Linked DNA regions of Rattus norvegicus. The protein of the gene in region 1 interacts with the protein of each later gene in a pairwise test. Links are inferred from orthologs where the notes say so. Each region holds a gene or a part of one and is shown in the gene's direction. Other genes may lie near its edges. The genes, in order: Vps52, Ddx6, Golga1, Ppp1r18, Tead4, Usp2 and Nfkbib.

What was found.
Region 2: the proteins of Vps52 (region 1) and Ddx6 interact in binary tests that used the Homo sapiens proteins (3 or more experiments, as listed by UniProt). The two-hybrid records come from large-scale screens. The link is inferred for Rattus norvegicus from reciprocal best matches to the Homo sapiens genes VPS52 and DDX6.
Region 3: the proteins of Vps52 (region 1) and Golga1 interact in binary tests that used the Homo sapiens proteins (3 or more experiments, as listed by UniProt). The two-hybrid records come from large-scale screens. The link is inferred for Rattus norvegicus from reciprocal best matches to the Homo sapiens genes VPS52 and GOLGA1.
Region 4: the proteins of Vps52 (region 1) and Ppp1r18 interact in binary tests that used the Homo sapiens proteins (3 or more experiments, as listed by UniProt). The two-hybrid records come from large-scale screens. The link is inferred for Rattus norvegicus from reciprocal best matches to the Homo sapiens genes VPS52 and PPP1R18.
Region 5: the proteins of Vps52 (region 1) and Tead4 interact in binary tests that used the Homo sapiens proteins (3 or more experiments, as listed by UniProt). The two-hybrid records come from large-scale screens. The link is inferred for Rattus norvegicus from reciprocal best matches to the Homo sapiens genes VPS52 and TEAD4.
Region 6: the proteins of Vps52 (region 1) and Usp2 interact in binary tests that used the Homo sapiens proteins (3 or more experiments, as listed by UniProt). The two-hybrid records come from large-scale screens. The link is inferred for Rattus norvegicus from reciprocal best matches to the Homo sapiens genes VPS52 and USP2.
Region 7: the proteins of Vps52 (region 1) and Nfkbib interact in binary tests that used the Homo sapiens proteins (3 or more experiments, as listed by UniProt). The two-hybrid records come from large-scale screens. The link is inferred for Rattus norvegicus from reciprocal best matches to the Homo sapiens genes VPS52 and NFKBIB.

Annotation. Positions count from the first base shown.
Region 1 is NC_086038.1:4,926,959-4,930,458, reverse strand, and holds part of Vps52 (vacuolar protein sorting-associated protein 52 homolog), read left to right. Parts: coding exon 1-57; intron 58-332; exon of another isoform or gene 333-429; intron 430-661; coding exon 662-762; intron 763-858; coding exon 859-991; intron 992-1,084; coding exon 1,085-1,142; intron 1,143-1,693; coding exon 1,694-1,827; intron 1,828-2,270; coding exon of another isoform or gene 2,271-2,312; coding exon 2,313-2,468; intron 2,469-2,575; coding exon of another isoform or gene 2,576-2,626; coding exon 2,627-2,745; exon of another isoform or gene 2,746-2,779; intron 2,780-3,050; exon of another isoform or gene 3,051-3,057; coding exon 3,058-3,181; intron 3,182-3,343; coding exon 3,344-3,439; intron 3,440-3,500. UniProt on the Homo sapiens protein: Acts as a component of the GARP complex that is involved in retrograde transport from early and late endosomes to the trans-Golgi network (TGN).
Region 2 is NC_086026.1:53,845,749-53,849,248, forward strand, and holds part of Ddx6 (probable ATP-dependent RNA helicase DDX6), read left to right. Parts: intron 1-458; coding exon 459-588; intron 589-1,497; coding exon 1,498-1,644; intron 1,645-2,924; coding exon 2,925-3,019; intron 3,020-3,500.
Region 3 is NC_086021.1:43,208,820-43,212,319, reverse strand, and holds part of Golga1 (golgin subfamily A member 1), read left to right. Parts: intron 1-1,210; coding exon 1,211-1,285; intron 1,286-2,121; coding exon 2,122-2,219; intron 2,220-3,500. UniProt on the Homo sapiens protein: Involved in vesicular trafficking at the Golgi apparatus level. Involved in endosome-to-Golgi trafficking. Mechanistically, captures transport vesicles arriving from endosomes via the protein TBC1D23.
Region 4 is NC_086038.1:2,882,330-2,885,829, reverse strand, and holds the end of Ppp1r18 (phostensin), read left to right. Parts: intron 1-1,436; coding exon 1,437-1,644; intron 1,645-2,652; coding exon 2,653-2,672; 3' UTR 2,673-3,460; downstream 3,461-3,500.
Region 5 is NC_086022.1:163,199,343-163,202,842, reverse strand, and holds part of Tead4 (TEA domain transcription factor 4), read left to right. Parts: intron 1-21; coding exon 22-77; intron 78-2,796; coding exon 2,797-2,936; intron 2,937-3,500. UniProt on the Homo sapiens protein: Transcription factor which plays a key role in the Hippo signaling pathway, a pathway involved in organ size control and tumor suppression by restricting proliferation and promoting apoptosis.
Region 6 is NC_086026.1:53,331,370-53,334,869, forward strand, and holds part of Usp2 (ubiquitin carboxyl-terminal hydrolase 2), read left to right. Parts: intron 1-766; coding exon 767-878; intron 879-976; coding exon 977-1,087; intron 1,088-1,659; coding exon 1,660-1,724; intron 1,725-1,900; coding exon 1,901-2,004; intron 2,005-2,086; coding exon 2,087-2,167; intron 2,168-2,272; coding exon 2,273-2,351; intron 2,352-2,544; coding exon 2,545-2,652; intron 2,653-2,989; coding exon 2,990-3,110; intron 3,111-3,500. UniProt on the Homo sapiens protein: Hydrolase that deubiquitinates polyubiquitinated target proteins such as MDM2, MDM4 and CCND1. Isoform 1 and isoform 4 possess both ubiquitin-specific peptidase and isopeptidase activities.
Region 7 is NC_086019.1:93,178,588-93,182,803, reverse strand, and holds the start of Nfkbib (NF-kappa-B inhibitor beta), read left to right. Parts: upstream 1-1,416; 5' UTR 1,417-1,675; coding exon 1,676-1,854; intron 1,855-4,216. Other genes in the region: Sirt2 (NAD-dependent protein deacetylase sirtuin-2), read right to left, coding at 432-478, 1,232-1,247. UniProt on the Homo sapiens protein: Inhibits NF-kappa-B by complexing with and trapping it in the cytoplasm.

The DNA of each region.
Region 1 (3,500 bases):
AGAGGCACGGCCGCCTGTGCAGACGTCAGAGGCGTGCTCGACCGGCTCCGGGTCAAGGTGGGGAGCGGCTGCTTACAGTCAGCTTCCCAAGAGCTCCACATTGCTTCCCGCTATGTAGTGTCAGTGTCAGTCCTCCCCTGAAAATCAAAGGAGGCTTGCAGTGTGGCTCCATTGGTAAAGCACACAACCCTAGGTTCCATCCCCAGTGCCTCCTGCGTTGGCAGGATGGCACGAGTCTGTCGTCCTAGCACTCAGGAGGTGAAGAAGAAACGGAGTCTGGGGCCAGGCCCCAGATACATGAGTGAGACGCCATCTCAGAACAAGCAGTGCTTGCACTGGCAGTGCGGGTACTAAAATTAGAACAACACAGAGAAGATTAGCATGGCCCCTGTGGGATAACATGAAATTTATAAAGCCTTCCATATTTAAACAAAACAAAAAGCCCTGAAAAAATAAGGCCAGCATGGCGATGCACTCACCCCCAGCATTCAGGAGGCAGAGGCAGGCAGACCTCTGTGAGTCCCCGGCCAGCAAGGGCTGCTCAGAGAGACCCTGTTTCCATAACCAGAGCACTAATGAAGTATTCTTCCCTTACCTTTATTTTCTCCTGTGTCCCCTCTCTCACTTCCCACCTCACGGCCTGTCTGTACCCCACATCCAGGCGGTGACAAAGATCCGTGAGTTCATTCTCCAGAAGATTTACTCGTTCCGAAAGCCGATGACCAACTATCAGATCCCCCAGACGGCCCTGCTGAAGTACAGGTGGCCCCCCCGGGATGGGCACAGGGTGACCATGAGCGAGCCTCTCAGCCTCCAGCGTGGGCATCCAGGGTGTCTGACTCACCCCGGTCCTTCCAGGTTTTTCTATCAGTTTCTGCTGGGCAACGAGCGTGCTACAGCCAAGGAGGTCAGGGATGAGTACGTAGAGACGCTGAGCAAGATCTACCTGTCATACTACCGCTCGTACGTGGGGCGGCTCATGAAAGTGCAGGTGGGCCAGGCCAGAGACGGGGGGAGGGGGGAGGCTGGGGGGGCTGGGGGGGATGTGGAGAGTGATGGCTCAGCTCTCTGTTGTTTTCTCTAGTACGAGGAAGTTGCTGAGAAAGACGATCTAATGGGTGTAGAAGACACAGCAAAGAAAGATATCCTTTAGAGGGGAGCCTCACACCGGGCTCACGGCGGGGACGTCCAGCTCCAGCATGCAGAGCTATCTTCTTTTCCTTCCTTCCATTTCTTTTTCTTTTTCTTTTTCTTTCTTTCTTTTTTTTTTTTTTTTTATAAGTACACTGTAGCTGTCTTCAGACGCACCAGAAGAGGGCATTGGATCCCATTACAGATGGTTGTGAGCCACCATGTGGTTGCTGGGAATTGAACTCAGGACCTCTGGAAGAGCAGTCAGTGCTCTTAACAGTCCAGGGCTGTGTTTTTTTTACCTGTTCTGTGTTCACACCTTTGAGGATGTGAAAGCCAGAGCTTCCTCTCTAAGAAGCACATGCCATTCTGACAGTTTTTCACATTTATTTCAGAGGGTTTGGGAAGCCTCGACAGCCATTATCAGTGTCAGGAGAAGCAAGGCTCTGGTTCTGGAAAAGGCCTTCCAGGCCTTATTTAGCTTCTTGGGATCCTCAGGCCTTGGCTTGTTGGGCCTAGTGCTGTCCATCTCGTTTTTTTCCCTGACGCGGATGTGGCTCACGATTCTTCTCGAAGCCGTCCCTGCGAAGCAGGAACACCATCTTTACCCTGGGCACCCGTGGTGCTGTCATCTCACCGGCCGAGCTCGAGGCCCCCATCCTGGTGCCCCATACTGCCCAGCGTGGAGAGCAGAGGGTATGGCGAGGCGATCCCTACATGGCCTGGGATCAGTTCCCTACCTACGTGTTAGTTTGGGGGTCCCTGACCCGCTGTGATGCGGGAGGGTTAGGAGCCATGGAGAGCCTTGCAGAGGGAGACTGGCTGTGGGTGTGACTGTTAGGGGGCAACAGTTGCAGTGGGTGTAGGGGCAGCAGCAGCCCCTGGGGAGGGCTTTTCTTGTGACCTGTGTCCCCTCTTCAGTGCCTGTATGGGGTGCTCCTCCCTGCCTGGAAGTTGGGTATGTGGTCTTGTGAGCTCGCATTCCTAAGCTGTGCTGAGTCTCCATACCCACGGGGTCGGTGTGAGACCCATCCATGTGTCTCTCTGACCTGTAGTATCCGTTTGAAGCCCGTCCGTGTGTCTCTCTGTCTCGGTAGTATCCATTTGAAGCCCGTCCATGTGTGTCTCTGTCTTGGTAGTACCCGTTTGAAGCCCATCCGTGTGTCTCTCTGTCTCGGTAGTACCCGTTTGAAGCACTCTTCCGCAGCCAGCACTATGCCCTCCTTGACAATTCTTGCCGTGAATATCTCTTCATCTGTGAATTTTTCGTCGTCTCTGGCCCGGCTGCCCATGACCTGTTCCACGCCGTCATGGGCCGCACGCTGTCCATGACGCTGGTGAGCTTCTGACTTCTGTGCCTTTGCCCTCTGTCCTCAGAGCTCAGCAGCAGCCAGTGGGGTCACAAGTGCCTTGTCCCCAAAGAATTGTACGTGTTTGCCTACAGCCACTCGAACAACAGCTAACGTTCAGTTGTCTGCCTGTTGCTGTGCCACAGAAACACCTGGAGTCCTACCTGGCCGACTGCTACGACGCCATTGCTGTTTTTCTCTGTATCCACATCGTTCTCCGGTTCCGCAACATAGCAGCAAAGAGGGACGTCCCTGCCCTGGACAGGTCACTGAGCTCCCGTCCTTGGTGCATGGAGGCGGTCAGCTTTTTTTTTTTTTTTTGGTTCTTTTTTTCGGAGCTGGGGACCGAACCCAGGGCCTTGTGCTTCCTAGGCAAGCGCTCTACCACTGAGCTAAATCCCCAACCCCAGCGGTCAGCTTTTTATCTAACACAACTCCACCCTGACTCTTCCTCACCCTTATTCCCTCCCATCCGTGTGTCCCAGGGGCAGCATTGGTGTCGGGCACACCCACTCGCTCACCCATGGGCAGCCAGCACCCCTAGCCAGCTGACCTTTGACTCTGATTAAGCCTGCAGATACTGGGAGCAGGTGCTGGCCCTGCTGTGGCCTCGATTTGAGCTCATCCTGGAGATGAATGTGCAGAGCGTCCGCAGCACTGACCCCCAGCGCCTCGGGGGGCTGGACACCCGGCCCCACTATGTAAGGGCAGGCGAGGGAACGAGGGGCGGGCAGTCATACTAACTGGTAGGCTGGGTCAGCTTGGGCAGACAACTCCTGTCCTGACTGGGGCAGGAGCTGCAGAGGCAGCTGGGGTTATATGTGACAGGCAGGCAGGTGTGAGCCTCCCTTTCTTGCTCCGAGATCACACGCCGCTACGCCGAGTTCTCCTCCGCGCTTGTCAGCATCAACCAGACCATCCCCAATGAGCGCACGCTGCAGCTGCTGGGACAGCTACAGGTGGGACAGCTGCAGATGGGACAGCTGGAGGTGGGGACAGCTGCAGATGGGACAGTTGCAG
Region 2 (3,500 bases), on another chromosome or scaffold:
ATTTACTATGTGGCCATTTTCTATTTCTAACAAAAATGTCTTTGTTTGAGGACTGTTTAACCCTTTGAGATTCTTTTCTCTAGTACATGCACTTTTATTTATTTGAGGCAGGGTCTTTTCTCTAGTAGTCCTGGCTACCAAGACCAGGCTGGCCTTGAACTCTAATTTACCTGGTTAAAGATGTGTATCACCACACCAACACCCAGCTCACTAACTTTTCTGTTACGCTGCTATTCAGCTAATGTTTTTCTGTTAACAGTTTTAACAAACTTTTAGTTCAAAATGGTATTAATGCTTACTGGTCCTGCTAATCCACTTGGGTCTTTGCCATTCATGCAAGATACATACATACTACACTTCAAAGGAGTACCAAGGTGGGTGGTATTCTTCGGTGTAACTTGGAAAAGAATCTGGTAACATTGTATTTACATGTAGTTTTGCATCACCTTGTCTTTTAGGAGGAGAGCATTCCCATTGCTTTATCTGGTAGGGATATCTTAGCTAGAGCAAAAAATGGAACAGGCAAAAGCGGTGCCTACCTCATCCCCTTACTTGAACGGCTGGACCTGAAGAAGGACAATATTCAAGGTTAGCTGAATAGAGGGGAGGGGCTGCAGGGAAGACTGTCTGTACTTGGAGCTTTGTAGGTTTTAATCTTGGTCAGAATTCATTTAATCTACTGTCTTCTTGCTATATTTGGCTTAATTGTTTAAAAAATTTTTCCCCAGCTTTTAAAGGGAATTTCTCAACTTCAGAGTACTTTTTTTTTATGATTGATAAAACAGTTGAAAAAGGGTTCGTGTGAGATAAGCAAAGTAAGCTTTCTTTAAAGCCAAACTGATGAGAGGCTAAATGAGTCACTGCTTACCTCCAGCCTATGCACCTGAATTCCCTTGTGGGAACTGTGTAAGCAGAGCTCTTTGTAGAAACAGTAAATGCTTCTGTCTGTAAACCCTTGAGTTTATCAAATTTTAAGAGCTCAGAGTTCCTCCTCTGTGTAGTAAATGTCTTGGTCAGCCGAGCCTACCAGGAGAACTCCAGAGGCAGAGTAAATCAGGACTATGGGGAAGCGGCCTGTCACTGGCAAGGGCCTGGCCCCCATGTAAGCCACAGCTAGAGTTGGGGGAAAAATTAACAGCTTAGAGAGTAGAAAAGAAGCAAAGTTCTATAGTTGTATCTGGAGTCAGTTCATACAATTAAGGTTTTGCCTCTAAAGTTTTTCTTAAATTTTCCAGTTTTCCATTTATAAATCTCTCTCCTCTCATTGATGAGCATAGAACCTAAGCAGCACGCGTTGACTGCTTAGTATTTAGTGACTCTGAGAGAGTAGTGACCCTTCTGTCAAGCACATGCATCCTTTAAGACTGGTGTGTTATGTCTGTTATGCCCGTGTGTTAGGTGAACTGCCTCAGTGAAACTGTTTTTATAGCTTCTTGAACTTCTAAAAGATAGCATGTTCTCTCTTCCCTCACTCCTTTGTTCTTTGATATTTTTTAGCAATGGTGATTGTTCCCACTAGAGAACTTGCTCTACAGGTCAGTCAAATTTGCATCCAGGTCAGCAAACACATGGGAGGGGCCAAAGTGATGGCGACCACTGGAGGAACCAATTTACGGGATGACATAATGAGGCTTGACGATACAGGTAGGAGATTATTAAGGCCACAAGGCTGTCTGATTGTAGCTACAGATGCCTCCTTATTTCTTTTTCAGACTTATTTGTAATTATGTAGAGGTGGGGTATGTGGTTATGCACACCTGTGTGCAAGTGCCTGGGTGAGGGTGTGGATCCCCTGAGGCTAGAGTTATAGGCAGCTGTGCACCACAACGTAGGTGCTGGGGATTGAACTTGAATTCTCTGCAGGAGCAGCACGAGATGAGCTCTTTTTTTTTTTTTTTTTCCGGAGCTGGGGACCTAACCCAGGGCCTTGCGCTTCCTAGGTAAGCGCTCTACCACTGAGCTAAATCCCCAGCCCCTACGAGATGAGCTCTTAACCATTAAGTCTTTTCTCCAGTCTCCAAGGGTTCCCTTTTAGGAAATAATTAAAACTTTGGTCTGTTTTGTTTGTTTTGTTTTTTGAGACTGGGTTTCTCTGAGTAGCCCTGGCTGTCTTAGAATTTGCTTTGTGAACCAGGCTGGCTTTGGGAACCTGCCTCTGCCTCCCAAGTGCTGGGATAAAAAGCATGTGCTACCACTGTCTGGCACTAAAATATGGTTTTGTTTTGTTTTTTGTTTTTAAAGATGTATTTATTTATTATATATAAATACACTGTAGCTGTCTTCAGACACACCAGAAGAGGGCATCCAATCTCATTACAGATGGTTATGAGCCACCATGTGGTTGCTGGGGATTGAACTCAGGACCTCTGGAAGAACAGTCAGTGCCCTTAACCACTGAGCCATCTCTCCAGCCCCTGAGCTCTATTTTTTAACTTGCACAATTTTGTTTTTAGTGATCAGTCTTTTTTTCCCCCTTAAAACAGTCTGTGGGGTTGGGGATTTAGCTCAGTGGTAGAGCGCTTGCTAGGCCTGGGTTGGGTCCCCAGCTCTGAAAAAAAAGAAAAAAACCAGTCTGAGCAGCCTGGCCCAGATTGAACACACGTCTCCCCTGCGTTCTGGCTGTTACTTCTTGCAGATGGCTGTAAGATGGGAGTTGTGAGTCCCTCAGTTGGAGTTTGTGGTTTGGGAAGCTGGCCCACTCACTGAAGAGACGAGACAAGTATTGTGGAGCTCTTGTGAGAAGAGACAGAAATACACGGCCCACAGTTCATCTTTGTGCCTTTTTGTATTAATTTGGGTCTCTATAAACAGTATTTATGATACTAAATACGTCTTATAAAATTAATGTGTTTCTTTATCCTAGATTAAATTAACAAGAATGTATATGTTTTCTGAAGTTTTTTTTTCTCTGGGAATCTTTTTAGTGCATGTGGTGATTGCTACCCCTGGCAGAATCCTGGATCTTATCAAGAAAGGAGTAGCAAAGGTTGATCATGTCCAGATGATAGTATTGGATGAGGTAATGTTTGTTCATTTGAAAGGACTCTTCAGTACTCCTCTAGCTTTGCTTATAATTTTCACTGAATAAAGCAAACCTTGAACTGGATATGTATGATAACAAATAACCAAGCCAAGCTCAGTTTAAATCTTTCTACTTAGTGTTACATTTTAAAAGCTTGTAAGGGATCTCTCTTAACCCTTTGTTTTGCATTTGCTTCCTAATATTGGTTGGTTCTTTGTGTTTTTTATGAAATTTGTTACTTCTTTAGTTTATAACCTAGTATCAATGCCTTTTAAAAAATTACTGATCTGAAGCCAAATGTTTTACCTGGGATGTAGAGTCAGATGTCTGTCTTGAGTTTGAGAGCTGCAAGTTTCAGGCCAATCAGAACTACACAGTGAGACTCTGCCTTAAAAATGAACAAAAACTACTCATGTGTGTCTGGGATGTAGCAGTGCTGTGTACAGTTAGCCTGGCAGCATTGGTGCTTCGGTGTGCG
Region 3 (3,500 bases), on another chromosome or scaffold:
GGATCTCTGAGTTTGAAGTCAACCTGGTCTACAGAGGAAGTTACAGGACAGCCAGGGCTACACAGAGAAACCCTGTCCCCAAAAGAGAGAGAAATAGATGTTATTAATACCAGTTAAAATAAGTAATATTCTGGATCCACAATTTACTTAAGATTCTTGGCTACGAACTGGCAAAGTTGAGATTTTAACTACTCTCTACTTTTATATTATAGCATACTGTTTTCTTTGGCACCCCAGATAATTCTTTCACCTTTGAGGTAACCTATGTACCACTCATTTCCTATATAGAAAGGGAACACCTACACCAATCTAGAGATTAAGCACCTACACCATAAAGGCAGTTCTATGCTAAGGTGTTTGCTATTTACCTAACCACTGCTGTTCACTTGTATGGTTGCAAGTGAGCTTTTCGTGATTACCCTTGATCTGCCATACTGCTAAGGGCCACAGGGAATGGGAACTGTCTTAAGTCATTGTTCTATTGGTATGTAGAGAAGCATGACCAAAGCAACTATTATAAAAGAAAACACTTAATTGGGGGCTTCCTTACAGTTCCAGAAATTTAGTTCATTATCATCATAGCTGGGAGTATGGTAGCATGCAGGCAGTTGCTGGAGCAGTAGCTGAGAGTTACATTCTTATCCATAGGCAGAGGGAGACAGACAGACAGACTGACTCACTCACTCACTCACTCACTCCACCTGGCTTTTGAAATCTCAAGCCCACCCCTTGTGATATACTTCCAATAAGGTCCTACCTCCTAATCCTTATAATCCTTTCAAATAGTCCAACTTCCTGACGACAAAATGTTCAAATATATGTGTCTATGTCCATTCTTATTCCAACCACCAAAGGAACACTGAGACTTAGAACAGAAGAATGGAGATGATGGTGGGTTTTTTATACCAGGGCATTTCTGATGACCAGGCCTAGCCTAATTGTTGTTTTCTGTCAAAGCTAAACAAATCTACCTGTTTGTACTCACTGTTTATACCATGGAAAGTTTGTAATATTCCCATTTGCCTGTGTCATTCATTGTTAATGGGAGGCTTTCTACCTAGCTTTTCTTAACAGGACTGGTTTTCAGGTTAAGAAAATCATCATCATTTTCATTCACTTTTTTTGTTTGTTTATTTGTTTGTTTGTTTAATTAACTTCCTTTCCTGATGTTTGTCCACTCCTGGTATGTGCATCACCCTCCTCACCCAAGACTATGCTGAACAGGTCCGAAACTTGCAGAAGATAAAAGAGAAGCTTGAAATTGCATTAGAAAAACACCAGGATTGTACGTATTTTTTTTTTCTGCTTTCTTTAATCTTTTTTAGGCTTTAGCATTTTAAATGAATTAATATATTGTTATATATATTCATCAGAACTCATATCTCTATTTTATACTGTTTTTAATAAGATTGATGTGACATTTGACTGAAAGTTAGCAAGTGTAAACACATTTGTGTTGTCTTGTAGATATACTACTTTAGAGAGGATCGTCTGTACTTGTCTTTATCTAGTTGACCCACTTACTGATTGCCCTTAGGTTTTCGTACAATCTAGTACCTGGCCCTTGGGTCTAACCTAGGAGAATATTTTCAACATAGTTTCATAACATATTGTTATATTGACTATAAAGCAGCTCTGACATCACTATATCAACAATAAAATGGACATACATTTTGTTAAATTGACCTACCTATCCCAACTCATGTTTTCCTTGTGTATTGTCATCCAAGAAAAGTGTGCTACAGGAGGTCAGAAGAAAACTAAATAAAACTTTGTTGTTGTTGTTACTGGCTTTGATTTTTATTTCATTTTTCAATTCTGGTGAAGAGGTCACGTCACAGAAGCCTTGGTGTTTTCTGCCTACCTACCTTAAGTGTTTGTCATGATACCACTCAAAAAGCTACTGTTTGATATCTTTACTATTATAGAAAGCAAAAGGAAGGACCCAGACCCTTACCAGGGCAGAAAGGTCATAGAAATTTGAGTTTTTCACGGGGTCATAATCTATGTCTGTGACCTTCCTTGTTCCATTTAGTGACATTTGTAAACTGCTCACATGAGCTGTTCATCATGCTGTTTCTGAAGTATTTCCATATCTCAAATAGAGCCTTTTGTTAACAGCTTCCATGCGGAAATTTCAAGAACAGAATGAAACATTCCAAGCCAACAGAGCCAAAATGGCAGAAGGACTGGCTTTGGCATTAGCCAGGAAGGACCAGGTATTTAAATGTGGTACTGCCCAAGGCTAAGAAAAGATTTCACTTAGGGACCCAATTTAAAAATCATGACACAGACCTGATAAAAGTCTTTCTGACCTAGAAGAAAAGGAATTTATGTTCTTTAAGGATTCATTTGGCCTTTTCTTAGGAAATCAGACTTGACAGTTTAATCACGAAATGTGTCCAGAATGTGAGAGAGTTATTCTCTCTATGTATCTTTGTAAAATAGAAATGGAAAGTGGTGTATCCATAATCTACTAGTGAACCTACAAATAAGAAAAAAGATCTCACCCTCTAAAAAGTTGTCCTCAACCCTACACCTCCAAGCACCTACCTGTTCCAATATAATTACTGGTCATTACTCACAGCAGTTCACATAGCCCTTCTGACCCTTTCTCCAAAATCAGGTATAGACAGAAGGGAACTTTTGATCCCCATAGAAACAGCAATGGCAAGGTGCTACATGAATGGCAATAAAAGGAAAAATAAGCCAGGTGTGGTGCATGCTTTCAATCTCAACACTTGGGTTGATACAGGAGGATCAGGTATTCAAGGCTAGCCCAGTCTATATGAAACCCTGTCTCCAAAAACATAAATTAGTTACTACAAAACAAAACATGTAAAAGGGAAAATAATATCACAGTAACTGTGGGGTATGTTATATTTGATATAGTTAGTAGTGTTTTAAATTAGGGTAAACGTCAGTGTTTCATAGTGATAATCCTGTAGATAAATGCTTGGCTTGTTTTGAAGTATAAATATAAAAGCATCATCTACTAGTATTCAACAGATAACTATGGTGTGTGAATGTATAGAAATATAAAAAAAAAATCAAAAAATAGTACATACTGTTTTACAGCTAATATGATTGGACCTTTTGTACCAGTGTTATTTCCCTTGAATTTTGTTTTGTGAATGAGGAGTCAAATATCCCCTCTCCTTTGTCACACACCAGAGGGCATAATACATATTAGAAAATCAAGCAAGAGTGCAGACAATTACCAAATACTCTTGGTCTTACTGCCCAAGACGTTCAGTAAATTAATGTCTAAAGATCAGCCATGTGACCCAACTCAGTAGATCCTAGCTGCCCACTCTCAAGAAGTAACAGCAGTGTTCCTTGGAGACACAGAAGAGTAAAGGACTTGAGTGCCCTGTATTGTGTCTGAGAATTTTATGTAAATTTCATTTTCTTTTTTTTTTTAAGGACATTTAGCTTTCTTAATATTCTTAAATTTCTTTTTTTTTAAAGATTTATTCATTTATTATATATGAGTACAT
Region 4 (3,500 bases), about 2.0 Mb from region 1:
CGTCTAAACCTTTCCGTTGTCATCCAATCCTGAGTCAGGAGTGCCCATCTGACTTCATGATTGTTTGTTTTTAAATACCTCTGCCTCACAGCAGTGAAAGATAGAGACCCGAATTCTGCCTTACTTACCTCGTTGCCATGGCAAAGTCTCTTTTTTGGGGTGTGTGTGTGTGTGTGTGTGTGTGTGTGTGTGCTTATTTTTAAAGTCAAGGTCTCTATGTAGATCAGGCTAGCCCCAGACTGGTCACCTGATTCCATCTGAATGTCAGCTTTTACTCTCTTGTATTTCATGTGCATTGCTGTTTTTGCCTGGGTGAGGGTGTCTGAGCCTCTGGAACTGGCGTTGTAGACAGTTGTGAGTCGCCATGTGGGTGCTGAGAATTGAACCCAGGTCCTCTGGAAAGAGCAGCCAGTGCTCTTAACCACTGAGCCATCTCTCCAACTCCTCACCCCTTTCTTTTTTTTTGTTTTGTTTTTTTAAGATTTATTCATTTATTATATATAAGTACACACTGTAGCTGTCTTCAGATACCAGAAGAGGGCATCAGATCTCTTTACAGATGGTTGTGAGCCACCATGTGGTTGCTGGGAATTGAACTCAGGACCTCTGGAAGAGTAATCGGGTGCTCTTAACCGCTGAGCCATCTCTCCAGCCCACCCCTTTCTTTTTTTAGACAGAGTTTGATCTGCATGGAAGGCTAGCCTGGAATTTGGTGTAATCCTCCTGCCTCATCTTCTCTCTCTCTCTCTCTCTCTCTCTCTCTCAAAAATTATTTTTTTTCAAGTTTATTTATTTACTCTATATAAGTACACTGTTGCTGTCTTCAGACACACCAGAAGAGGACATCAGATCCCATTACAGATGGTTGTGAGCCACTATGTGGTTGCTGGGATTTGAACTCAGGACCTCTGGAAGAGCAGTCACTGCTCTTAACCGCTGAGCCATCTCTCCAGCCCTCTTGAACGCTGAAATCGCTGCCTCGAGGCACCACACCTGGGGTGCAGAGAGACACCTGACATAACACACTGTGAAGGTCAAAGGTTCCAGAGAGGCCTGGCTACAATCGCTCTCACAGCCCAGCCAGTGTTTTGCAAGCCTGTGTACGTGTACACTGCAAGTATGCCTGGAGCCTGCAGAGGTCCCGGAACTACAGTTACAGATGGTTGTGAGTGCTGGGAACTGAACACAGGTCCTCTGCAAGAGCAGCGAGTGCTCTTAACCACTGAGTCATCTTCCCAGCCTCTAAGTGTTGTTTTGAATGATGCCATTAGACGGAATAATCAAGATGTAAAGGAAAGCCGAACCCCAAATGGATGGAAGGGAAGGTCTGCGGGGCACCTAAGCCCAGCCCCGCTCCACTTGCCTCTGGTCTCTCAGCCCTCCCTGGATCCCCTAGTGATGAACTTGCCTCCTCTCCCCTCTCTTCCTACTCTCAGCTCAAGATCTCCTTTAGTGAGACAGCACTGGAGACCACATACCAATACCCTTCCGAGAGCTCGGTACTGGAGGATCTAGGCCCGGAGCCTGAGGCCCCCACTGCCCCCTTAGCAACGCAGCCTGACGATGACGAGGAGGAGGAAGAGGAGGAGTTGCTTCTGCAGCCCGGGCTCCAGGGCGGGCTGTGCACCAAGGCCCTAATCGTGGGTAAGCGGCTGCGGCGTGGTTGGCGTAGGGCGCCCCCTGGTGTTCATGGCTTTGTGGTACTTTGAAGGAGCTTGGTCCAATTTGCTACATCTGCTGATTCCTGAAAGCCAGCACACTTGGAGTCTCCAGATTTCAAAACCAGAGCTCGCTCGTTATCCAGATCTCTAATCTGGTTAAAAATACCCGTGTTGGGTCAGGCGGCATGGAGTCAGAATTCCAGCTCGTCTGTTACTTAGTTGTGATCCTGAATCAATCCGAGCTCGGTTTCCGTTTACCTTATGTGTGGCGTGCGCGCCTGCACTCCCAGATCCCAGAGCATGCTAGGCGGGTGCTCTGCCGCCGATCGGTATCCCCAGTTTTCATTTATCATCCTTTAAAATAAAGTTAACAGTTGTGTGCTGGGCCTCCGGGTGTGTAGCTCAGCGATAAGATTGCTGCCTTGAGCTGAGAAAAGTGACTCATGCCTGTAATCCTATCACTAAAGCGGGGGTAGATCCGCCTAGTCTACACAGTGAGTTCCAGGGCACCCTGGACTATTACAGATCGAGACCCCATCTGAAACGAACAAACAAAAAGGTTGTGTACCCCGCCTTAATTGATAATAGCAAGTACTTTTTTTTTTTTTTTTTTTTTTTTTTTTGGTTCTTTTTTTCGGAGCTGGGGACCGAACCCAGGGCCTTGCGCTTCCTAGGCAAGCGCTCTACCACTGAGCTAAATCCCCAACCCCAAGCAAGTACTTCTTGAAGTTGTTTGAAGACTTGAGTAGATTTTTGTAAAGCACCTAGGTATACATAGCTAGGTATTAAATTACTTCACCTTTGCTGAGACGATTGTGAAATTAAACAAGATGCTCAGCACAGAATCCAGTTAACCGTGATGATGACCACTGTTCCACAGCCAACATGTTACAAAGACTTCTCTTATACCAGCCACTCTTCGGTTCTGGGGATGCGTGGGGAGGCGGAGGCCCTCTCCGCTTCTCTGGATTGATTACCTCTTTTCCTGCAGATGAGTCCTGCCGGCGGTGACCATCTTCGAGTTTGGGCATATACCTCTCTCCTTCTCGCACCTGAAGATTCTGGAGCTTGGATGATTCAGAGCCGACAGACATGGCAGTGAGCCCGCCTGGCAGGGAAGGGCGACAAGCGAGCGAATTCGGACTTGCTTTTCCCATCCTGTTCCTGGGGCGGAGCCGGTAGCCTAAATTGACCCCTAACCCAAAGTTCCCGGTGGGCGGAGCATCCTCGGTGAGCTAAGAGTGAGCATCAAGTCCTGGGTTGGAATTCAGAATTTATCTGGAATTGAGATGGAGCACCTCCAGCCTCACAGCCTTCCTTAAAGCTCAGCCACTCTCCGGGGATCCCGCTCCATCCACGAACACCCCCTTTTCTAGGTCACTACCCCTTTGTTTACAGCTTCCCTCTTGATCACAGCCTGGTTTACATACCCACTAGCTCCCAATCCCACCTGCAGAGTCCCAGGTTTACAAGCCATGCCTACCCGCGGAGCCCCTGTGGGATCCTCCACCTTCCCTTTGTTTCATTGTGAGTGACTTGGGAAGGTGTGTAACCTTCTTCAGCTTTGCTCAGTATTACTGTGCCTCGGTTTCCCCCAAGAGGGCAGGCTGGGGATCCTAATCCTGAACCCCATGAAAATTATTTAATTCTGTTCCTCCACGTGGTTCACATTGAATTGAATTGCAGTGTGGGGGGCGCTCAGGAGGCGCCTCGCTTCTCCCCATTGCTCCTTGGTCAGCTGCCTGGTTTGTTTCGTTTTTTGTAACTTTCCGTAATAAAATGGAGCTCTTTTCAACTCTCTTGCTGTCTTCCTTTTCTTTGTTTCTTCTTCTTTTTTTT
Region 5 (3,500 bases), on another chromosome or scaffold:
TCTTTCTCCTTTCTCCTGCAGTGTGAAACCTTTCTCTCAAAACACCTACGCTGTCCAGCCTCCGCTGCCTCTGCCAGGTAGGTAGATTCCCTATGTCACACCCTCTGCCTCCTGCCTCAGGGCCCAGGTCCCCAATACCCCAGTCCTGTTCCTATCACTGCTAGATGTCATGCTGTCACGTGTTCAGATCATGCATCCCAGTTTTCTGGCTCTACCACGTTTCTTGCCTCTAGCTGGCATGCTGCGGCCATGCCTCATGGGTGTCCCGTGGTGTTCCGGGGTGACGCCAGATGCTTGCCTGTTGTGCACAGGGCTGGCTGGGACACAGAACTGGAAGGAGGTGCTCGTGTGCCCAGGTCACTCTCTTAGGGCACATGTGCTGCTAGCTCTTCGGGCTTTCCCCTTGGAATGCTACCTACTGCTTCTCAGTTGGGAGCTGTGGGGCACTGGATTCTGAGCCTAACCCTTCCCTAGCACAGGAGACGCTGATGCCTGGAGTGTACATTGATACCTAAGCAGCTTGCTGGTTTGTGCCCTTCCCCAGGCTTCAGCCCTTACCTTCTCAGGAGGTTTCCTCACCCTTTCCACACTGCAGTCCAGGCCACGGTTTTCAGCCTTCCTGGAAGGGTGACCAGCTGTGCCACTCTGGTTGTGGCCCCTCAGGCTTTCCTGGCACTCGTGGTGCCCACTCACTGCTTCCTTCACCCCTATACGGAGCATCTCTGAGTTGGGTCCAGTCCTCATATCCCTGTCCTCTTTCCTGTTCTCTCTCCTCTGTCCATGTTGATGCAGTCTGCACTCAGATCCACCTAACTCTTGCCCAGATTACTGCAGTCGCCTCTTCACTGGTCCCCGTGATTCCCAAAGCATCTCTCGACATGCTATTTCTGGCCTTAAGATGCTTCCCGGCCCCATCGTTCCTTAACGGTGAGCTCTGAGCTCTGCAGTAGATCTGCTGGACTCCTGAGACTCAGCTTACTCTGCTCCCTGGTCCTGTCCACTGTGCTCCCTGCTCTGCCTCTGGGCTGTGGCTAGACTGCTCCTCCTGGGCCTTGGATCCTCTCACCTGTCGCCACCCAGGTTAGGCGCCCACTGCTTGCCCAGCCAGGGCTCTGTGGACCTCTGTCTAACAGAAGTGTTCATCACTCCCATTTCTGCTTGTACTCGGACACATGTATCTGAGTATCCTTGTGGGATCTTCCTTCTTTTGTTTACACTGTGCTGTGCCCACTGCTTCTGCCTAGGGTGCTAGAGGTCATCAGACTCCCAGAAGGAGAGCGTGGGTCATGAATCTACTGTGTCTCCCTCTGTGCCACCCTTCCGTCACAATGAAGGAATGAAAATCTGCCCAGCAATGGCAGGCTTGCTTGGAGTGCTAACAGCATCAAAACCACAGCTCCCATCCTAAATGGAATAAAGGATGGTTTATGCTGGAGCCGTTATGAGAGACCATGGCCTGGGAACACAGATTTAGGTTACCCCAAATTCCATGTTCCAACGTGGAAACGGGTTCACAGGGTTTTAGATTTTTTTTACTGAACAAAGAAAGTCATGAATCAAGACAACCTTGAACTACTCTGGTGGATCCACCAGCGTATGCAGGTACAACAAGATTCAGGGAGATATTCTATAGGTCTAAAATGCTCTGGGCTGACACTCTTAGCTCTCGGAATGGCAGAAACTAGTGCTCTGCTAAGTTAATAACTTCTGAGAGGTTTCTAATTACTATCATGTGGTGTTAGTTCAGATACAGAGCGGGGTAAGGAATGGCTGTTCAAGAAGACCACAACTAGCCCTGAATAAAGTCATTAGCCTCTGAGACGTGAAATTCCCGTCTCTCCACTGTTCTGACGCCCCAGTTGGCCTGTCCGTCTGTGAAGACACAGAAACTCCCTCCAGGAGTTTTTTGTTCCCAGCCAGACACAGCTGCTTTTCAGGAAATTTTTTGGTTCGAAGTGCTTGCTCCAGGCAGGGTTCCATTCCTCGTATTACCAGGGGGAAAAATTTGCAAAGCCGTCCGTTTCTCAGCCAAAGTTTAACTCAGCCAGTGGCTTTCCTTGACTTGGGAATAGAATCCATCCTGTTCCCCAGCAACCCTGCCCCACTACAGAGCCTTATTTCCCACAATCCAAAAAGCTGTTTAAAGGGTGGCTTTCCAGATTCCCTCAGCTGGCTCCCAGGCCTCCACATTTGCCTTTGCTGGTTCCCAGCTTGGAGCACCCCCCCTCCCCCATCTCGACCCTCATCCCTCCCATCCCCCACTGGCCCCTACTCCCCACTGTCTCTCTTTCAGCTCTGTAGACCAGGCTGGCTTTGAACTCACAGAGATCTGCCTGCCTCTGCCTCCTGAGGGCTGGGATCAAAGGTGCGGGCTACCACTGCCCTGCTACCTCACACCTTCTTTAAGCCTCATCTTCCTGATTGGTTGGCCTCAGGGGCATCGAGAAGTCTTCTGTGGTGCTGGGGGCACACTTCATCAACACTAGCCTAGATCTGCATTCATTTCTTAGAAACCAATGCTCTCCAGGAAATGGATCCCGCTTCCAGGGCCTCTGAGTTACTGTGCTGTTTGCTTCAGCTGGCTGTCTTCCTACCTGGACTAGAAATCACCCTAGGGCAAGAATCCTGCCTGCCCTAACTGCTTTCAGGCAGCCTGGGCTGTTGAGAATCTGTCAGCCTTGAGCATGGGCCTGGTCCACTGATCTGGATCAAGCACAGGCTCTGCCCTGCCACTGATAATACAAGCAGGGAGAACAAGGAGGGGCAGGCTCCATGTGTTACTCTCCCTTCATGTAGGCTTTGAGTCTCCTGTAGGACCCACCCCATCACCCTCTGCACCGCCAGCTCCTCCATGGCAAGGCCGCAGCATAGCCAGCTCCAAGCTCTGGATGTTGGAGTTCTCCGCTTTCCTGGAGCGCCAGCAAGATCCTGACACAGTAAGTCCCCACCATGTCCAACTGTCAAACTCCCAAGAGAGACCATCTTAATCCCAGGGGTACTGTCACCATTGTGACGCCCTGGTCTTGCAGGCTCAGAATAAGTCACCAATTCCATAGGCCTTGTCCTTAAAGAAAGGCCTAGAATCCTGCAGCTTCTGTCTCTCTGCTGCTATGTATATGCCCCTGTCAATGGAGACCCTGCCCACATAGTAGGTCCCCTAATACACACCTTATTAAATGAATTCTCAACCCTGGAAGTTCTCCCCCCACGGAAGACCTCACCTTCCACCCTCCCTACCTCCTCTGGCTTCCTTCCCTTTCTTTCCCCTCTCCCTTAGGTTTTAATAGAGTCCTCGTTCTTTCTTCTCCCCTCACTGTCCTGTGTGTCATTACCTTCCCCCACCCCCCACTTCTTTACTCCGTTCTTTCCCTTGCATTCTGTATATCTCGACCTCAAGCCTTCCTGGCTTCTGTTCTCTCAGGCTAATCCCCCATCTCTTATTTCTCCTCTTATTCTAGTGGCCTTTCCTCCCAACCCCGCCCCTCCCCCACCCTCCACTA
Region 6 (3,500 bases), on another chromosome or scaffold:
TCTCTTTCTTTGCCTATTGGTTGGGGCTCAAGTGTCAGAATCTGTGGTTGAAGCACAGCCTTCCTGTGTAAGCATGGTTGGAGCCACAGCTGCGGTTCTCCTGCTTTGGCCTCCCAGGCGTTGGGATCAAGGTGTACAACATCATGTCTGACTCGTTTCCGTGTTCCCTCTTACTTGTTCATTGGTTGGTGATCTTTGGGATGCTTGGTTCAGTTGGTTGTCTTGGTTTTGTTTTTCTGTTTTGTTGGGGTTTTTTTTAACTTTTTTTTTTTTTTTTTTTGGAGCTGGGGACTGAACCCAGGGCCTTGCGGTTGCTAGGCAAGCGCTCTACCACTGAGCTAAATCCCCAACCTGTTTTGTTGGTTTTGAGACACAGTCTCATGTAGCCAAAGCTGGCCTGATGTTCCTACCTTAACTAGATCACAGGCATGTACTGCCAAAGTGCCTGTGTGCTCACAGAGGACCAGAGTTTGGTTTCCAGAGCCAGCTCCCGCCTGTGGCCCCTTTGGGCACTCATAAGCATATACATACACCTACACATGCACATGCACACAAACACAATTTAAAATAACTTTTTAAAAAAAGAAAACATCTCAGCTGGGTAGTTGTGATGCACAACTTTAACCCCAGGACTCGGAAAGCAGAGGCAGGCAGATCTCTGAATTCCAGGCCAACACGGTCTACAGAACTAGTACAGGACAGCCAGTGCCACACAGAGGACCTCTCTCACCTGTTCTCCACCCTCTTTAATGGCTCCTTCCAACAGAGTTTGCAAAACTAATCCAGACCATATGGACGTCATCCCCCAATGATGTGGTGAGCCCATCTGAGTTCAAGACCCAGATCCAGAGATATGCACCACGCTTCGTTGGCTATAAGTAAGGGCCTGACATGCATGTCCTCCCAAGGTGTGTGGTAGCACAAGCGGGGTCCGGTGGGTGCTGCTCACCCACTCATTCACTCTGTTTGGGTTCAGTCAGCAGGATGCTCAGGAATTCCTCCGTTTCCTTCTGGATGGCCTCCACAACGAGGTGAACCGGGTGGCAGCAAGGCCTAAGCCCAGCCCTGAGAGCCTTGATCATCTCCCGTAAGTAAGAGAGGCGCTGCCGCTATGACGTCTCTGTGAACTTGGCATTTGTACCTACTTCTCTTCAAGTACTGATTTGGGGAGAATCAGATTTGCTTTGTTGTTGGTTTTTGTTTTTTTGTTTTTTTTTTCCGGAGCTGAAGACCAAACCCAGGGCCTTGTGCTTGCTAGGCAAGCGCTCTACCACTGAGCTAAATCCCCAACCCCCTGCTTTGTTTTTAAGCCCAGACTTTTTATTTGGGCATTGTACATGTGTTGGATAGATAGATAGATAGATAGATAGATAGATAGATAGATAGATAGATAGATAGATAGATAGATAGATAGATAGATAGCCTGAGGTAGGAAGGATGATGAACTTGAGAGCAGCCTGGGTTAATCCTGGCTCAGGTGAACCTCGACTCAGGATTTGCAGCTTGGGAGGGTTGTGTGAACAGGAGCAAGGCCAGGGATTCCATGCCCAGCACCACAGAAGTCATACATGTAAATATACGAAGATGCTAGATGGTAGCCCCGTAAGCCTCCCAGGGCTTGAGTTCTGACCTAGCTGTCTTCCTGTCTGTGGTTCCCAGTGATGAAGAGAAAGGGCGACAGATGTGGAGGAAGTATCTAGAAAGGGAAGACAGTCGGATTGGGGGTAAGTATACTGAACAGAAAACATCTGCTTCTTCACCCGCTTTTGCTTGAGAAGCTGTGGGGATCATTTATCCCAGGGGACCCTGCTTCTGCCAGTGGCTCTCAAACCTAAGGCCAGAGTGGGTGGGGAAAGACAGGCATTCACATGTTCAGCATGCCCTGGCTTCCTCTCCCCAGATCTCTTCGTTGGGCAGCTAAAGAGCTCCCTGACGTGCACCGACTGCGGCTACTGCTCTACAGTGTTCGATCCCTTCTGGGACCTCTCGTTGCCCATTGCAAAGGTACGCTCAGCTGTAGCCCTGCGCCAGCCTCTCTCCAGGCTGAGTGAGGCTGTGACCACTAACCTGGATCTTTTCCTTGCAGAGAGGCTATCCTGAAGTGACGTTAATGGATTGTATGAGGCTCTTCACCAAAGAGGATGTGTTGGATGGGGATGAGAAACCAGTAAGTCACTCCACAGTGACAGAAGTACCCCTTGTGGGGAAGGGCCACAAGTCTCACCGCCTCAGGCTTTAAGCTCTTTCTATCCTTGTTTGTCTTGTCTTTCAGACATGCTGCCGCTGCCGGGCCAGAAAACGATGTATAAAGAAGTTCTCTGTCCAGAGGTTCCCAAAGATCTTGGTGCTCCGTATCCTTAACCCCCAGGGTGGGGAGCTGACTTTTTGGGGTGACTGATGACAAGGGACCAAAAGGGGAGGGAAGCAGCATAAGGAAAAAAAAAACTCGATAGACTTCTTTGTTTGCGATCCTGCTTCCTGAGAAGAGCTGCTTCTCCAAGGAGTCTCTTCATGCTTCCTGTCCTTGACTCAGAGCAATCACAGACCTGAAGCGGTTCTCAGAATCCAGGATACGAACCAGCAAGCTCACAACATTTGTGAATTTCCCACTAAGAGACCTGGACTTGAGAGAATTTGCTTCAGAAAACACCAGTGAGTATACTTGGGCAGGACGGAAGAAGGAAGGCGGGAGGAAAAGGGGCAGGAAGCAAGAGAGTTAGGAAAAGGTCAAGAGATTGAGGATGTGAGCAGGTAAAGTACTGATGGCCTGAGATGGATCCAAAACCCACACAGAGAGAGAATTGACTCTGTCAAGGTGTCCCTGTGACCTACACACTACACACACACATACGCTCTGAGGAAATAAACCAATTTTTTTCTCTCTTAGTAGAAGCTATGGTTTTAAGGCAGGGGAAAGATTGGGAAATAAAAGGGCGGAAGGGAAGGGATGTTGGGGCAGGAATGCCTAACACCTGTGTTACCGCCTCAGACCATGCTGTTTACAACCTGTATGCTGTGTCCAATCACTCCGGAACCACCATGGGAGGTCACTATACAGCCTACTGCCGAAGTCCGGTTACGGGCGAATGGCACACTTTCAATGACTCCAGGTGAGATGGGATTCTGGCAGGGCTCCTGGACAGCCCACCTCACAGGGCTTCCATCTTGAATGGACGGAAAAGCCGGGGCCAAGAGCTCCACCATACACGTGTGTGTGCTGCCCTTTCCCAGACTGTCAGAAATAGGTATGATGGCACATGACTGTAACCAGATACTGAGGAGGTCAGGATTTCAAGGTCATCCTCAGCTACTTAGAAAGTTGGAAGTCAGCGTTGATTATGGGAGACCCCGTTTCCAAAAAGGGTTTGGCACTGAGCAGATGGCTCAGCAGTTACGAGCTCCCACTGCTGTTGCAGAGAACAGGGGTTCACTGCCATTGGCCACCAGACACACACAGCACAGACACATGTTAAAAATAATAAAACCCTTCCTCAGAGGAC
Region 7 (4,216 bases), on another chromosome or scaffold:
CTTCCCCAACACTGCCCCCAGCTGTGCTGGGATTACAGGTAGCTGACACCACAGCCAGCTTCAGTACTTTTATGAGCCCTAGAGGGTCCTTTCCCCAACCCCATACTCCCTGAGTTTGGGGATCAAACTGGAACACTGTCTTTTCCAGGTCTAGCACAAATGAGGTTCAGAAGGGATTGAGGATAGGCGGGGCAACAATAGGAGATGAGGACAATATGGAAGGGAACCAGGGGTTGAGGCTATACATTTTCCTTGACAGTCCCCAGAAGCCGCCATTCTCCCAGGAGCTGTACTAATCCCCAGATGGGTTTAGGGATCAGGGCCATAAGCCAAGGGCCCTTGGGTAAAAGCCTTCCCTTGCACCTCCCCCAGTGCGGCATGTGGAACCACGTCCATTTCTCTCCTTCCCTCCACCCTTTTCCCCATCTCACCTGAGCCTCCTGCACCTTCCCTGCCTGGTTCTCCAGAGGGTCAGAGGCTGGGGAGGAGGGGGAGCAGACGTGGTTACAGTGGGGGGAAATAGTTAAGCAGATGAAGGGTTCACAGTGGTGGAGGCGACAATAGGACCCACCAACCTAATTATCCTGGAGTCATGGATGGTAGTAAAACTATTGGAGATGGGGAAAGGCATGTTTTAGAGTGGAGGAATGTGTGAGGAGGGGAAGGTTTGGGAGGAAAAAGCAGGTGAAACGGGACTGAAGGAAGGTTTCAGAGTTAAGCAGGATAAGGTAGCGAGTGCGAGCCAGGAGAATGAGGGAGGGCTAAGTTTTTCAAGAGATGTTAAGTAGGGATACTTCTGCTGAGAGTTGAGTGTGGGAGAGGAGATGCAGTGAAGGTGGGAGGTTTAGGAGAGGCACAAGAACTGAAGGAATGAGATAGAAAGGGGCCGCAGGGGTCCCCAAACATACTATAGTTGCCCTTAACAACAGGCAACCTTAGCAACCGGGATCGTGGTAACTTTGGTCCTTAGCAACGAGGGTCCTCAGCAACCAAAGTGCGAGAAACGCGATCATTCAAAACTTTGCAAATGGACCCTTAAATTTCACAATCCAGAAACCCACCAACCTAGCAATATCGACCACTTAGCAACAGCCCTCCGAATCCCACTCCCTTCAGGCAGCCTCTGTCTCCCACCCCACCGACCTGCCCGCGGGCCCCGGGGCCTGCAGCCCAAAGCCAGGCCCCGGCGCGGCCCGACCCTCCCACCCTCCCACCAGGGCCCCTAACTCACGGTCCGGCTCGGCCATGGGAACGGGGTGGGGGCTCTCGGGACTGTCACCGACTGCTCTGTCCCGTGACGGCAGCGGAAACAAGAAGGAGCCGAGAGAGGATAGAAAAATACAACTCCCGACAGGCAACGCGGTCCCGTAACCGCTTTCATACGGTGCTCCCCTCACGTTATCAAACTACAAATCCCAAAAGGCTTGGCGCCGGCGGCCATATTAATAAAGGGCGTCTGGAAAATCTGGGGAAACTCAGCGAGCGAATGTCCATCTCATTATTCTGATTGGTTCTGGTGCAGTACAGAGGCGGGGTGTGGCTATTTAACACAGTTTGATTGGGTATATGAGGGGGCGTGTTGGGGAATTCCCAATAGGGCGGAAGCGCTGGAGCTCTCGGCAGAACCCAGCGTCAGGCAGGCGACCGCAGGGGGCCACCCGAGGTGGCAGGGGCAATGGCCGGGGTCGCGTGCTTGGGGAAAACTGCAGACGCCGATGAATGGTGCGACAGTGGCCTGGGCTCTCTAGGTCCCGACGCAGCAGCTCCCGGAGGACCAGGTCTGGTCGCAGAGCTTAGCCCAGAGCTGTCTTGGGCGCCCTTAGTCTTTGGCTACGTCACTGAGGATGGGGACACGTGAGTAAACCTTAAATTACCAATTTACCCTAGGGATCTTACCTGAGTCTCCATTAGCCTATGATTTCTGTGGCTTCTTATCTTCTCGTTCCTAACTCTGATTTCTGATGCTGGACTTCCTGACCCATAACCACCAATCACTAAATTGTGAGACTAGTCCGTTTTCACTCACAGTCAAGTGTCTCAACTTTTCTGAACTCTTAAATTTGAGCTTACGATCCCCAAATCGGGTCTGAACCTTTCTGACCACTCTAGTTCCCACATCTTCTGACCTCTTGCTTCCAGATGTGGTCTTTGGTCTTTGGCTATTCTTGTATAAGCCAGATTTTGATTTCCAAAATTAATTCTTGACCCTGAGTCTACGACGCTGACACATCCAGCACTGACCCTGCAATTGAGAAACCGAGCTACTGGGTGTCATGGGCCTCACAGAAGTTGGGAGGCAAAGGCAGGTTGATCTCTGTGAGTTTGGGGCCACCTGATTGAGATGCCGGCCAGCCAGAGCTACATAAAATTTAGAAGCTCGATTCTATGAAGATGGATTCATCTGTTAGCCAAACGTCTCTCCCTAACTACCACCTTTCAATCCCTGGTTTTAGTTTAGCTGAATGTGGTGGTACACACTTGTCATCCCAGCTCTTAAGGGGCTGAGGCAGGAGGATTGCTAGTCTGAGGAGAGCCTGGGAAGACCGGTATCAAAAAGGAGGGATAAGGAAAAGGAGGAGAGGGAGCCTGGGGGGGGGGTGTGGAGCAGGAAATGTTGATTAGTAGATAAACTGGGGAGAAGGGATGGCTGTGGTGACAGTGTGTGTAAGGGAGTGTACCCGGGATTTTCTTGTCCTTTGTGCTCATTGCGTATACCCAGTGACTCAGTGCCTGACCCATGAGGGGAACCCAATAAACACTCATCTTAAAGAGCCAGGAGTAGTTTCCTTAATTTTCTAATTTTTCACTTTCTACTTTATTGGCCCTTGTTCCTTTATTGTTTCCCTCTGGTTATTTAATTTTTGTAATTTCTTTATCCTTTTTTTTTTTTTTTTTGTTCTTTTTTTCGGAGCTGGGGACCGAACCCAGGGCCTTGCGCTTCCTAGGCAAGCGCTCTACCACTGAGCTAAATCCCCAACCCCCCTCTTTTTTTTTTTTTTTTTGTTTTGTTTTGTTTTGTTTTGCTTGTTTGTTTTTGACAGTCTTGTGTAGCCCATGCTAGCCTTCAGGTTGTAGCTGAGGATGGCTTTGAACTTTTCATTCTCCTGTGTCCACCTCCCAAGTGTGTATCACTACATCCAGCTCAGGGATGTGCGTGTGTGTGTGTGTGTGTGTGTGTGTGTGTGTGTGTGTGTGTGTGTTCGCACTAACCACATAGGCTAGACTAGCTGGCCTGAGAGAACCTTGTCTCTTGCTCCCCACCCTCCTCCTCCTCTTTGAGACAGGGTGGCTGACCTGGAACTCACTATGTAGACCAGACTGGCCTCAAACTCATAAAGATCCATCTGCCTCTATGTCCTGAGTGCTGGGACCAAAGGTGTGCGCCTCTGTGCTCTACTCCAGGGATCTCCTAGTGTTAGGATTATAAATACTTACAACCACACCCAGCTTTTTTTTATGTGGGTTCTGAACTAAGGTCACTGTGCTTTACTTACAAAATAGTTCCCCAGCCACCCACTCCACCCCCTTTTTCGTCAGTGTCTTACTATGTAGCCCAGGCTAGCCTTGAACACTACTGTAAAAAATAATAAAAATAATTGATTCAGCCATTTAGCTCCCAACAAGGACTCTGGCACTAATTATTCATTAATAAATGCCTTGGCTACAAGCTTTGGCTCATTCCCTGGCTAACTTATAACCTATTTAACGCATTCAAACTATCCTATGTCTTCCACGTGGTTACCTTTCCTGCAGTCTCCAGCCTGCCTCTTCCTTAGCGTCGTCTTTCTCAGTGTCTCAGTGACCCCTCCAGTGCCTCTCCCTGCATCTCCCTTTTTTCCTCACCATTTCCCAGAATTCTCTCTCTCTTCCTGGCAGTGTCCCACCTGTTTCCTCCCTCAGCTCATTGGCCATAGGCTTTTTTTTATCGACAGGTGTTGCCTTTAAGAAATTCTGTCCACACTATGAAACTTGTCTTTGGTTTATTTTATTTTATTTGTTTTTTGTTGTTGTTGTTTTTTGTTTTTGTTTTTGTTTTGAGATAGGGTTTCTCTGTGTAGCCCAGACTGTCCCAGAACTCTTTCTGCAGACCAAACTGGCCTTGAACTCAGAGATACATTTGCCATTACCTTCCAAATAATTTACTTTATGCGTATGACTGTTTTACCTGTGTACATGTATGTGGACTGTGTTTGTGCTTGTTGGAGCCCCTGGAACT